Linked DNA regions of Tamandua tetradactyla. The protein of the gene in region 2 interacts with the protein of the main gene of each other region in a pairwise test. Links are inferred from orthologs where the notes say so. Each region holds a gene or a part of one and is shown on either strand. Other genes may lie near its edges.

Region 1 (3,748 bases), on a different chromosome or scaffold from region 2:
TTAATTCAGCAATCATTTACTATGTGCTCAGTGTGCATCAGGTGCTATGCTTGGGTACCAGGCATCCAGATACACCCAAATGCCCCCACTCAGATTAGACCAGGTCCTCTGTACACCCTTCTGGATGACTATTCATTAGACTATTTGATTTCCTGAGCTCCCACAACTGAGAAGGAAATGAGGTGGGGCTGAAAAGAGATGTGCTCAGAGTGTTTCACATTTACAACCACAATTACACCCACCACATCCAAGACAGGTATGATCACACAACTACCACCAGTGAGAGAAAACCAAGGCTCAGAAAGTTTCGTTACCTGAAGTCAGAGAAAGTAGCAGAGGTGGCCTGTAATGCCAGGATACAACCCCAAGCCCCTGCTTCTTCATTTTTTTTTTCTTTTTTATTAGAGAAGTTATAAGTTCACAGAACTACTGCATAAAATAGTTTCCATATAGCGCCCTATTGTTAACACCTAGCATTCGTGTGATACATGTTACAATTCATGAAAATGCCTTTCTATAACTGTACTATTAACTATAGTCCATCACTTACAAAACGGCTCACTATGTTGCAACTGCCTGTCCATAATGACTTGTCATATCCTTGGCCATGTGCTTGGCTGTCACTCGGCTTGGGAACCTTCAGTTGCTCATCCAAAAAAAATCAAGGGCTCTAGAAGATGACCCTCCACTAAAAATTTTGAGGACCCTAAATCTTAATTCTAAAGACAACCACCCTGGGAAAGGAGGCCGACCATCCGTGTCACAGCTAAGGATGTAGGGTATTGGATAGCGATGCTGAACTAGTTGAGGGGCAGCAGCTAGCAAGAGGCTGGGAACTCAGGAAGGACTGTAGGCACTTTTATCCCCTCTCACCAAGATGGAGGCCACATTTGGGGCCAGGGAATCTGAGCTGGAGCCTGCATCTGCCAATTAAAACCCCAATGACCTTCAGCAACCTTAACTTCCCCAAATCTGATTCTTTTATCTGTAAAATGGGTCTAATATCTATTTTAGAGCACTATGTGGAGAGTTAAGTAAAATATCAGATGTGAAAGCTTCATCCTTATCCAACAATAGAAATGTTTCTCTGTGATTTATTTATCAATTTGCACATCAACACTATTGTACCCAGTCACCTCCCAAACCCATGCTCCTTTAAATAGGACCCTCAATCAACCTATCCAACTTTAAAAATTCACTCCAGAGGCAGTCTTATTCCTGTCTCCTCTGGCTCCTGACTCCACAGGCACCTACCAGACTGTTCCCTGTGAATATGACATTGGTTTGGTTCTGGTGATTGGGATTCACATTGATTTTTTTTTTTTTAATTTTTCTCCTTCCTCATTTTTGTATTGCTTAATTTTTTAATGAAAATAATTTTTAAAAAACATTATTTTTAAAACAGTCACACACACACAGACCCAAACTAGATCAGCACCCCTAAACAGGACACTTGGTCCTGTCAGCCAAGCAGTTCCCAGTCACCATCAACTCTGATCTTGAGTTCTCCCATCAGTGAGAAAAGGGCTCAAATCAATTACGCCAGCCCCAAGCCTCTTCCAAGGGTAAAATTCCACGACACCTAGAGCATGTGACTCATGGGAAGGTCAGACAAGTACACACTGTTACCACCCTGCCTAAACCCTAGCGTGTGCAGGTGAGGTCGGTCACAACGTGCACTCACACAGGACTTCCCCCTTGAACCATGCAAAGGACATTTATCTCCACATAACAGACGGGCAAACTGAGAAACAAAGTAATTAAGCCATGTGTCTCCACCTCCAAGTTCCAGCATCCTCCTCATTATATCACCTGCATTACTGGCATCCCGTCATCTCATATTATGTTATTACATGTTACTGTCATGTTATTCATAACCGTCTGGGGAAGTCTGTCATGTGCCCGGCACTGTGCTATACAGGTGGGGAAGACAGGCTTGCAACGGCACACCCCATCTCATTCCTCAGGGGTAGGCGCCGCAGAAAAATGCCTGACTCTTATATGCCTGTCACCCTCACAGGTGGTTAACGTGTCTGTGCCCATTTAACCCTCACCACGGTCCAGTGCGTTAGGTTCTGTACCGTTCCCTTTTGGCACATGAGGAAGGTAAAGTAATTTGGTCACACACACACAAAATGAATCCGGTCCTAAGCTCGTGCTCTAACCACAATGCCTGAGGCCTCCTCCTTGGGGACCGAGCTCCCCGAGACTCCGAAGAGCACCGCCCCCAACATGCAGCAAGCCCGAAGCCCGCCTTAAGCGGGATCCAGCTGCCCTGGGATGCCCAGGACTGAGGGGGTTCCCGGGACGCAGGACTTTCAGTTTTAAAACGGGGACTGAATAGGTCGCCCTAGGTCCAGGTCTCCTTCCACTTTTCCCCAGTCCGAATAAGATGTGAATGAATTTCCTTCTCCTTCCCAGGGTGGAAGCCAAAAGAGGGAATGCAGCCATCAGCCACACCGCCCGACCCTTCTTCACTCACTGCTCCTCTACTTCCTCCGTCGGGCCTGTGTGTCACCGCCCCTCACCTCTCAGCAGCCACCCGCCAACGATTTCAACCGGCCACGGAGAACACGTGCAATCGCTGCCGCCCGCCGCGCGCAGCCGTCACCGCCCTCCAGGGCTTCCCCGCGCAGAAATCGCGCTGGAGCCGGCCCGCGCGCCTGCGCACCACGGCCAAAATCCCTGCGGAAGTGACGCTACCGGAAGTCGGAGGGCGGTTCCGGCAGGTCAAGGGGGCGTTGTCGGGTGGTTCTGCTGCCGGCCAAGCCGGCGTTAAGGTGGTGGTGTCGGCAGGTGGAGAGGCTGCGGCGGGTCAGGGAGCGGCCTCCGGGGTAAGGTGGTCATAGGGCCTGGAGGCCGGCCTCCTAGAGGGCGCGCGGTCGGGTGGGAGAGGGAACCGTCAAGGAGGGGAGGCCGGGCATCCGAGGGTGGCCCCTGAATCCCGGCGGGGCTCTGCCCTGCCCCCACCCCCTTCTCCCGGGGCACTGCGAGGGTGAGTGGAGAGCTGTCCGCCTCCTGCGTGAGTTCACGAGTGACTGCCCTGTGCCAGACGGAGGGAAAGTTGAAGGAGACGCAAAAGACAGAACCTAGTCCGGGGAACCGGGCCTTCTCCCTCGTGCAGCCCCCTTGGCCTGAAACCCCACACTAGGTCTTTACCCGGCCTCCTCCTGCTCATTCCTCCAGACCGCTCAGCCGTCGCCTGCAGGAAGCCCATCTGACCCGCTCCCGCCCTCCGGCTACCCATTTCTGGATCCCTGTTTCCTTCTCTTACTGTAGTTGGGAGTAGTGCTTACAACAACAGAGTTCATAGTGTTGCGCAGTCTCTCATTACTGTGCAGGCTCTCTGTGCTCTGTTTCAGATCTGTAGAAGGGGGAATACCGGTACCTTAGGGGTGTTCATAAACCCATGCACAGGAAGTTCTCAGCACATGCTTGACTCTTAGTAAGTGCTCAGTAAAGGATAGTTGACGTTCTCAGAGCTCAGGGCAGGATCTGGCATATCGTGGGTGGCTACTAAGTGACTATTGTATGAATGAATGTTGAATAGGGTAGTTGAGTGGAGGTGTGAGACAGCATCCTGAAAAACATTCACTTTAGGGTGAGGGCATACCGGGATCAGCAAGATTTCACTGTAGAAGTGAGAGGTGTTGGGCCTGGAATAGAAGGACTCACTGGGATTTACAAGGAGGGAAATAATTCCCAGCAGAAGTGGGAGAATGGCAGAGGTTGAAAAGCAGGTGCTTGA
Region 2 (3,748 bases):
CTTAATGTTTGTGGAATGTGTGATGAATGGGTGAACAGATGACACGCTGTGATCTAGAGACAGGAGGCGTGTCTACTTCTGCGGATGGGTGTTGGGGGCATTGGGAAAGGCAGCGAACTGAAGAAGAGTACAAGGGGGAGGGTGAAGGCACAAATGGCATTCAAGACAGAGGAAAGAGCACCTGGAAAAGCATCAAGACATGAAAGAGCAGGGTGAGCAAGCATTGTGGAATGAATGAAATGCAGGGTATGAGTGTAGAAGAATGAGGAATTGAGACTGGTGACATTACCAGAAGTCAGGTCAAGGAGCTTTGAAAGTCAAATTAACGTTAGAGATTTATTCTGAGGGCAAGAGCTGGAAATGGCTTCAAGAGGGAAAGGCAGGACGTGAGGATAATTTCCAGATTTCTGGCCCAGCCCAGGGGATGGGGTTAGTGGAGCCACCGTGGAATCCAGAGGGGAAGAAAAATGAGTTCAGTCTAGATGACCTGGGGGAGGTGGTTTCCAGGAGACAGCTGGACTCTTCAACCTGGGTCTCCCTATCCCTGTACAAGCACCCTCCACTCCCACCTATGGGAATCCTCCATCCTTCACTGTTTGGCCAGAGCCACCTGCCTTCTGCAGGAGACCTCTTGGTAGTCCTAGCCTTTCTCCGTACCCCCCTGACTCAGTGCCTACGTCCTTTATAATGGGCAGCGAGCCCGATTTCGCTGTGGTCTGCCCGGCAGCAGGGGTCCAATTAGTCACTTCTGGGTTGGTTCCCAGAGTGAATTTGCGTGGAGTAGAACAAGGCAACTTCAGTTCAACAATCAGTCAAGAGTCAAAGCCAGATAAGAAAAAGGTGGGGAAAAGGGTGGGTGGGACGGTGACGTAGGGGGCGAGAGGGATTCCTTTTCAGAAAAAGCAACAAGCAGAGGAGAGCGCAGGCGTCGACTCAGCCCTCCTCCCCTCCCCTAGCTGCCTTTGTACAGAATCTAATCTGTCAGAAGGGGGCGGATCAACCGCGCCCTCCTTCCTTCAGGAACCATAAAATGGCCGTAGGGGGCCAAGGCCGTGGGGAGACGAAGTGAAACCTGGGCCTTTAAGGCACTATTTGACCTGTGTCGCCTGCCATCCCGCAAAGAGGGACCTCAGAGCGCGTCCGAGCCTGCGTTACCCTACTGCTTTACCTGATCCCTTCTGGTAGATGCCGCCGCTGGCCACGGACGCCTGGAGAAAGAGTGAGGCCGGGTGGGCGGTTGTAACACACCCGGCCGAGAAAACACACCGCGAAGCGCCCGCCACTCTCTGCTCCGCCGCCGCGGGGCACCCTGGGAGCCGCCCGCCGCGGCGCATGCGCCCTAGATGCGCTGCTCTCGCGCGAGGTCTGGAGAGATCTCAGCGCAGGCGGCGTAGCCATGGTGCCGGGAGGTGCTACTTGCAGCCGGCTCCCTCGGGTTCCCGGGTGTTAGAGCGGCGAAGGGGTCGGTATGGGGCTCACTTGGGGATGGCTGAGCGGTATGACAGATGGAGAAACCGAGGCCGGGGGTGGAGGACAGGCCTTCGGAATTTCTGGGCTCTCACCGGCGCTCTAGCGGTGTGGAGTTTGTGGCTGGTTGTTGGGTCGCAAAGCGGGCGATAGTGGCACGGGGCGGGGTGGCCCGAAGATAGCGGCAGAGGCGAGGGTTCACCCTGGAGAGAAAGTCAGTGCAATATCCTGTCTTTAGTATAAAGGAGAAAATAAACTAATTTGCAGCGGAAGACAATATTTCTCTGTGTAAAGGCTCAGGCAGGGTTACTTCAAAAGATGCTTGTACTTACAATGAGGAAGTGTGGTCTTAATATAAGACAGCGTTCACGTAAAAATTGTCAACGTTTCATATTTGGAATTTTGAATCAAATACTAAGTGTATTTGTACCAAGCGGGAATCACTGTGTAAGCTATGAATACAGACATGGGCCGGTGGACCCAACTGGTGAGCAGGGTGAACAGGCATTTTCCAGAAAGGTGAACAAGGCCAAGTAGTACTTCCCTTAACTAACGTGTTATGTGCATTCCTGAGTAATACAGTATATATTAAAACTGGGAAATAGTTTACTGTATTTATATATAAACAGGTGTTAGGTCTTTTTGCTGACATGAAGCTCTTGCAGGACCTTTGAAAGTTGTGCAGGACAGAGGACAATTTGTTGTGGGGAACTGTGCTGAGCATTGCAAAAGGCCCAGATTCCTGCTCGTGGATGCCAGCAGTGTTTCGCCTGTCTTGTGACACCTCAGAACAGAGCTCTTCCCTGGATAATCACTGATTTGTTCAATCAAATGATAATTTTTGCCAGCAGACTGTGTCTTGGTGGAGAAGTATAGTGTGGTGAACAGGACACAGTCCTTGTCCTTGAGAAGCATATGCAGATGTTAGTGATACAGTACAACAAGTAGCTTGACAATAAGGGCAGTCAGGACAGGGTTGGAACACGCAAGAGGACCCAGCCAACTGGCAGGGTGGTGAAGGGCCTGGGAAAGCTAGACAAAGAAGTAGTGTTTGAACTGAGCATCACACAGAGAAGGCCGGTGTGTCAAGCAAAGGGACCATTAAGACTATGACACGTCCAGATGGCCTGGCACCCAGTAGGCATCCAGTAGAGGTTTTGAATGATTAGATGAGCGATGATTGAATGCGAACATGGGATAGTCGTTGGCAGGAAGCCATTTCCCACTGTATTGTGAACTGCTAAAAGGGAAATACCTGCTTCCTGACTCCCCCAGAGGCCAGCACCAAGTCGGGACCCAGAGAAGGTGGTGGCAGCAAATGGATCCAGACAAAGAAACAGAGCTGTGTATCCCTAGCCTGGGACTGATGTCCGGGAAGTGGGTCTCTACTTCTCTGCTCTGGTAGAAGGCAAGTACTAAAAATACAGCTGCAGTGCTGTTTAAATGTTAGAAAAAGCAGGGCAGGGGTGGCCTCTTATTTCCACATCTGTCATTCATCCATGATCTGGAGGCAGAGCATGTTGTCAGCAAATGGTAACTTCTGAGGACTGTGCTAAGATAAAGAGCTCTCAGAGTGGGTGCACAGTGGAGAAGGCCACAGGCTGAGGGTCCTTTCCCCCAGAAATCTCTCCCTAGAATAATCCCTGTCCTCCTGGGATGGTGGTGATTTCTGCCTCAGCAGCCAAGCTAGAGCAAGGATCTGGAACTGGCTGCCTCCAGGAGCCAAGCGGGCCATGCAAATCAGCAAAGGGCCAGGGGGCTATTTGGGGCAGCCCCTTCTGAAAAGCAGGCTGCTGCTCACCCTTACTGGGTATTGCCTTGCACAACTCCTGCTCTTGCGTGACCAAATATTTTGATTGTACAGGCTAGAAATGAAGATTTGTGTATGTACAGATTTTTTAGTATTGGCACTAATTCAGATATATATTTTGGCAAGAACCAGATGAAACACATTTGTAATCTTTGGTCTGTGTGTCCATACCAGGGAGTTGGGTGTTCGTAGGACATCACAGTTTTACTTTACAAGGAAAAGAGTGGAAGTTCAGGCAGAATGTAATGCTTCTGGCAATATTGAGATAATTTTCATGCTAGGCACTAGAGGTTCCACAGCTAATGAGAAAACCCAGTTCCTGTCGTTTTGGGATTTCCAACCCAAAGTAGATGGACGGAGAAGTAAAGAGACAAATGTATCATAGACTAATCAATAAGAGTAAAGACTTGCTGGGGAAGTACAGAGTAGTTTTAGGGGAAGGTGGGCATCAGTGCAGGCTTCCTGCAGGAA
Region 3 (3,748 bases), on a different chromosome or scaffold from region 2:
TGGAAAGGGCTCCCTCCTGGGCCTGCTGGAGCAGTCCTCACGGTAGAATCTCTGGACCAGCAGCATCACCCTCACCTGGAAGCTTGTTAGAAATGCAAATTCTCTTGGTCCCATCCAGACCTACCAAATCGGAAACTCTGGGGGTGGGGCCCAGTAATCAGTGTTTTAACAAGCCCTCCAGGTGATTCTGGGGCCCAAAGAGGAGGGGAGAACAGAAGAATGGAGAGAGTAAAGAAGGGCCTCTTCTTTAAAGCCACCTAGAACCCTGCCAGCCTGCCCCGTCCCAGGCTCCCTTGCAGCCTGCTGTGGGCTGCCCTGGCCTCAGGTGACACAGGGACTAGGCTGGCCTGAGCGAGCTCTGGCGGGGGAGAGCTCCCAGCAGGAGCTGATGGCCTGAGCGGCAGCACAGGGTAAAGCCAGGAAGGTTGAGAAGCGCTGAGAGCGGACCAGCACCCAGGGTAACTGGGACCAAAATGGGCACAGACCCCACCTTTCTTGCACACTCCCTGGGAGCTCTCCCCAAAGGTGTAGGTAAGGCCATACCCCAAAAGGGAAGCCAGGAAATCCCATAGAAGCCTTTCAAGCTTGGGGCCGAACTAACTCTTCATTCACCCGATGCGTGCTTCCGTTGTGTGTGTCTCCAGCTCAGGTCTGGGCTGCTCTGGCGGGGGGTGGGGGGTCGGATAGTACTTGTGGTCCAGGAATTTAGTGAGCCAATTGACCGTGTCCAGCACCCTCTCCCTACCTTCAGGCTCCCAGTCTTCACAGCTGCCCCAGTCTCCCCAGCTCCATCCCACATCATGAACCGCAGCAGATTTGAAAAGGCAATAACCACCATGCTCTGGGGTGAGTTAGGCCTCAGGCTGCCCACCTTCCATCCAGGGCAGGAGCCAGCACCTGGGGAGGTGCTGATGCTATGTCACCCTGAGAGGTGAGGGGAGCGAGGGAGCACCACTCTGCCCCCACGCCCCTCTCTCACTTCCTTCCCAGGCTGCGAGCTCAATCAGGAGAAGCCAGCCTGGACCTTCCAGCCCCAGCTGGCGGGAAAGCAGGACTGTAAGCTGATGCTTAGTACGGTGGGTGCCCCCCAGGCGAGGTGAGAAACCCAGCCTCCTTCAGAGGAGGAGGTGGGATTGTCCAGTCCAAACAAGTGAAAACGGGGTTGCCCCCACCTGCCCTCAGGGTGATGAGGTCCCCCTGTCTGCGCCAACCCCTCTCAGATCTGCCTGGGGGAGAAAGCCAAAAATGAGATGAACCTCGTGGAGGTCCTGCCCCCAGCGAAGGAGTCGCCGGTCACCATTGCCTCGCTCCAGGCGTCCATCCTGCCCATGGTGAGCCTGCCCTGCAGCCCTGGGACAACCTCTGCCCATCACACACACGGGGGCCTCGCTCTGGCCACACCCCCTGGGTACGGTGTGGCCCTGGGACAGGCGCAGCCGTGCTGGAGAGGCAGTACAGCCTGGGACTGAGGGCCTGCACCCAGGAAGCTCCCCGTCCAGCCTCACCCATGACCAGTCCAGTTAGAGAACCTCTCCTCCAAGGTCACGTTTTTGTGCCACTTAGTGCTGGTGACGGGAGCACTGGTTTGCATATTGATTGTGTACCCAGAAATTCTCTTATTAATTCTAATAATTTATGTTGGGTTTTCTCAATTTATGCATGACCGTTGTTTGTGAATAATGGCAGTTTTTGTGTCTTTTTATTTGTTGTCCTACTCTACTGGCTGGGACGTCCAAAATCATATTGGATACACGTCATAATCGTGGATGTGCTAGTCTCATTCCTGATTTTAAAAGGGAATGCTTCTAAATCTACCAAATATTTCATATTCAAGTCAGGTTAAGGAAGTCCCTATCCAGACCGGCTCTAGTTTTTTTTTTTTTTTTTTTGCTTGTTTGGTTTTTTTAATGTGTTTTTTTATTTCTTTTTAATCATGATTGGAGGTTACAGTTTTTTTCAAACGATTTTCTATTGATGTGACTGTGGGTCCTTCCTTATTTAATCTGTTAAAGTGGTGAAACACATTAATAGAACAATATTCAACCATCTTTGTATTCTTGAGTTAAATACTACTTAATCATATTATACACCTCTAGGTTTGCTCTGCTAGTAGACCTTTTTTTTTTTTTTTTACTTATATACTCATAAGTGAGGTTGCTCTATAAATTTCCTTCATCTCCTGTTCTCTGGAGCAGTGTATATAAGATTAAGATCACCTGCCCTTGAGGGTTTCAGAGAAGCTCTCTGTAAAACAGTTCTCAGGCCTATTTTCTTCCCTGTCTGCACACTCCTAGGAGACCTCATGCTCCCCGTGTTTTAAAGACCATCTATAAAATGAGAACTCTGAAAACTCCATCTCTACACCCAACTCCTAGAGCTCTGGGTCCTATATACATACTCAATATGTCTAACAGATACCTAGTAGTTCCCAGACTTAACATAACTAAATCAAAATTCTTGATTTGTATCTAAAATCTTTCCCCCAAGCCTGATCCCCTCAGTAAATAGCAGGCCTGTCCTTCCACTTTGTCAGGACAATCACCTCTTTCTCTCAAACCCCGAATCTGAACCCGATCCACCAGCAAATCCTGTAGGCCCTGCTTCACGATGAACCCTGCACTTCCCAGCACCTGCCCTGCTATCCCTGCTCCAGGCCCCATTGCCTCCTTCTCCAGTCTACTGCAGGGCCTCCCAACCGTCTGCCTGCCCTCACCCTGGTTCCTCTGTAGTCTGTCCTAGAGGGTGGAAAACTGCAGGGATAAAGCCAGCCCATTGTCTGTTTTTGTAAACAAAGTTTTAATGGAGCCCAGCATGCATGTTTGTTTATGCAGTGTTCATAGCGGCTTTCGGAGTTGAATAGTCTGGACAGAGAATATATGGCTCATGAACCTAAAATGCTTACTGTCTGGCCCCTTACACAAAAGTTCGCTGACTCCTGGTCTAATCTCTACACAGCTGCCAGAAGGATCCTTTTAGACACCAATCAGGTCTCTGTTGCTTCTCTGCTAAAGCACTTTGGTCATTGGCTTCCCATTTTACTTAGAATAAGATCCAAATTCCTTACCGTGGCCTCCAGCCCTTTATGTTCTGGCCTTTAGCAACTTCTCTGACCTCAGCCTCTCCTCCTCTCTCCTCCCTAACTCTGTTTAAACCACACTAGCTTCCTTGACAGTACCCTGAAAACTCCCAACACTCCCTCTTCAGGGTCCTTCCAATTCCTGTGCCCCATGCATATTCCCTTGGCCTGCTCTCCCGCTTCAATCCAGTCTTTGTTCAAATGGCATCTCGTCCAAGAGGTCCTCTGCAACCTCAGACAGCATCCTTTCCTGAGGCCCAACCCACAATCGCTTCTCCCTCCCCAGCCAGGGCCCACAACTAACACCGTTTCTTATTTGTTTTTAATCATTCTCGCCAACCAGAATATAAGCTCCAAGAGATCAGGGATTTTGTTTGTTTGTTTGTTTGTTTGCTGCATTATCCATAATACTTATTTAATACTGCCTTGCATCTTGTAGGAACTCCGTGTCATGAATGAGTAAATAAATGAATGAACTATGTGGGGCTGGTATGTCTTTAAACTGTCGTAATTTGTCTAATGGTTATAGGTGTACTCAGATTTTTCTAGTTCTTTGAGGCCATATTTTTAACAGTTTCATTTAGATGTGATTTATATACAATAAAGTTCACCAGTGTTAAGTGTGCAGTTTAATGAGTTTCGACAAATGTATGTAATTGTGTAACGACCACC

Evidence for each region.
Region 1: the proteins of SDCBP2 (region 2) and LYAR interact in binary tests that used the Homo sapiens proteins (3 or more experiments, as listed by UniProt). The two-hybrid records come from large-scale screens. The link is inferred for Tamandua tetradactyla from reciprocal best matches to the Homo sapiens genes SDCBP2 and LYAR.
Region 3: the proteins of SDCBP2 (region 2) and NPM2 interact in binary tests that used the Homo sapiens proteins (3 or more experiments, as listed by UniProt). The two-hybrid records come from large-scale screens. The link is inferred for Tamandua tetradactyla from reciprocal best matches to the Homo sapiens genes SDCBP2 and NPM2.

The regions. Positions count from the first base shown.
Region 1 is NC_135345.1:8,752,441-8,756,188, reverse strand, and holds the start of LYAR (cell growth-regulating nucleolar protein), read right to left. Parts: upstream 2,660-3,748; 5' UTR 2,483-2,659; intron 2,477-2,482; exon of another isoform or gene 551-2,476; intron 1-550. UniProt on the Homo sapiens protein: Plays a role in the maintenance of the appropriate processing of 47S/45S pre-rRNA to 32S/30S pre-rRNAs and their subsequent processing to produce 18S and 28S rRNAs. Also acts at the level of transcription regulation.
Region 2 is NC_135327.1:23,223,042-23,226,789, reverse strand, and holds the start of SDCBP2 (syntenin-2), read left to right. Parts: upstream 1-1,373; 5' UTR 1,374-1,485; coding exon 1,486-1,496; intron 1,497-2,742; exon of another isoform or gene 2,743-2,875; intron 2,876-3,748.
Region 3 is NC_135329.1:22,658,101-22,661,848, forward strand, and holds the start of NPM2 (nucleoplasmin-2), read left to right. Parts: upstream 1-800; coding exon 801-846; intron 847-990; coding exon 991-1,076; intron 1,077-1,220; coding exon 1,221-1,331; intron 1,332-3,748. UniProt on the Homo sapiens protein: Core histones chaperone involved in chromatin reprogramming, specially during fertilization and early embryonic development. Probably involved in sperm DNA decondensation during fertilization.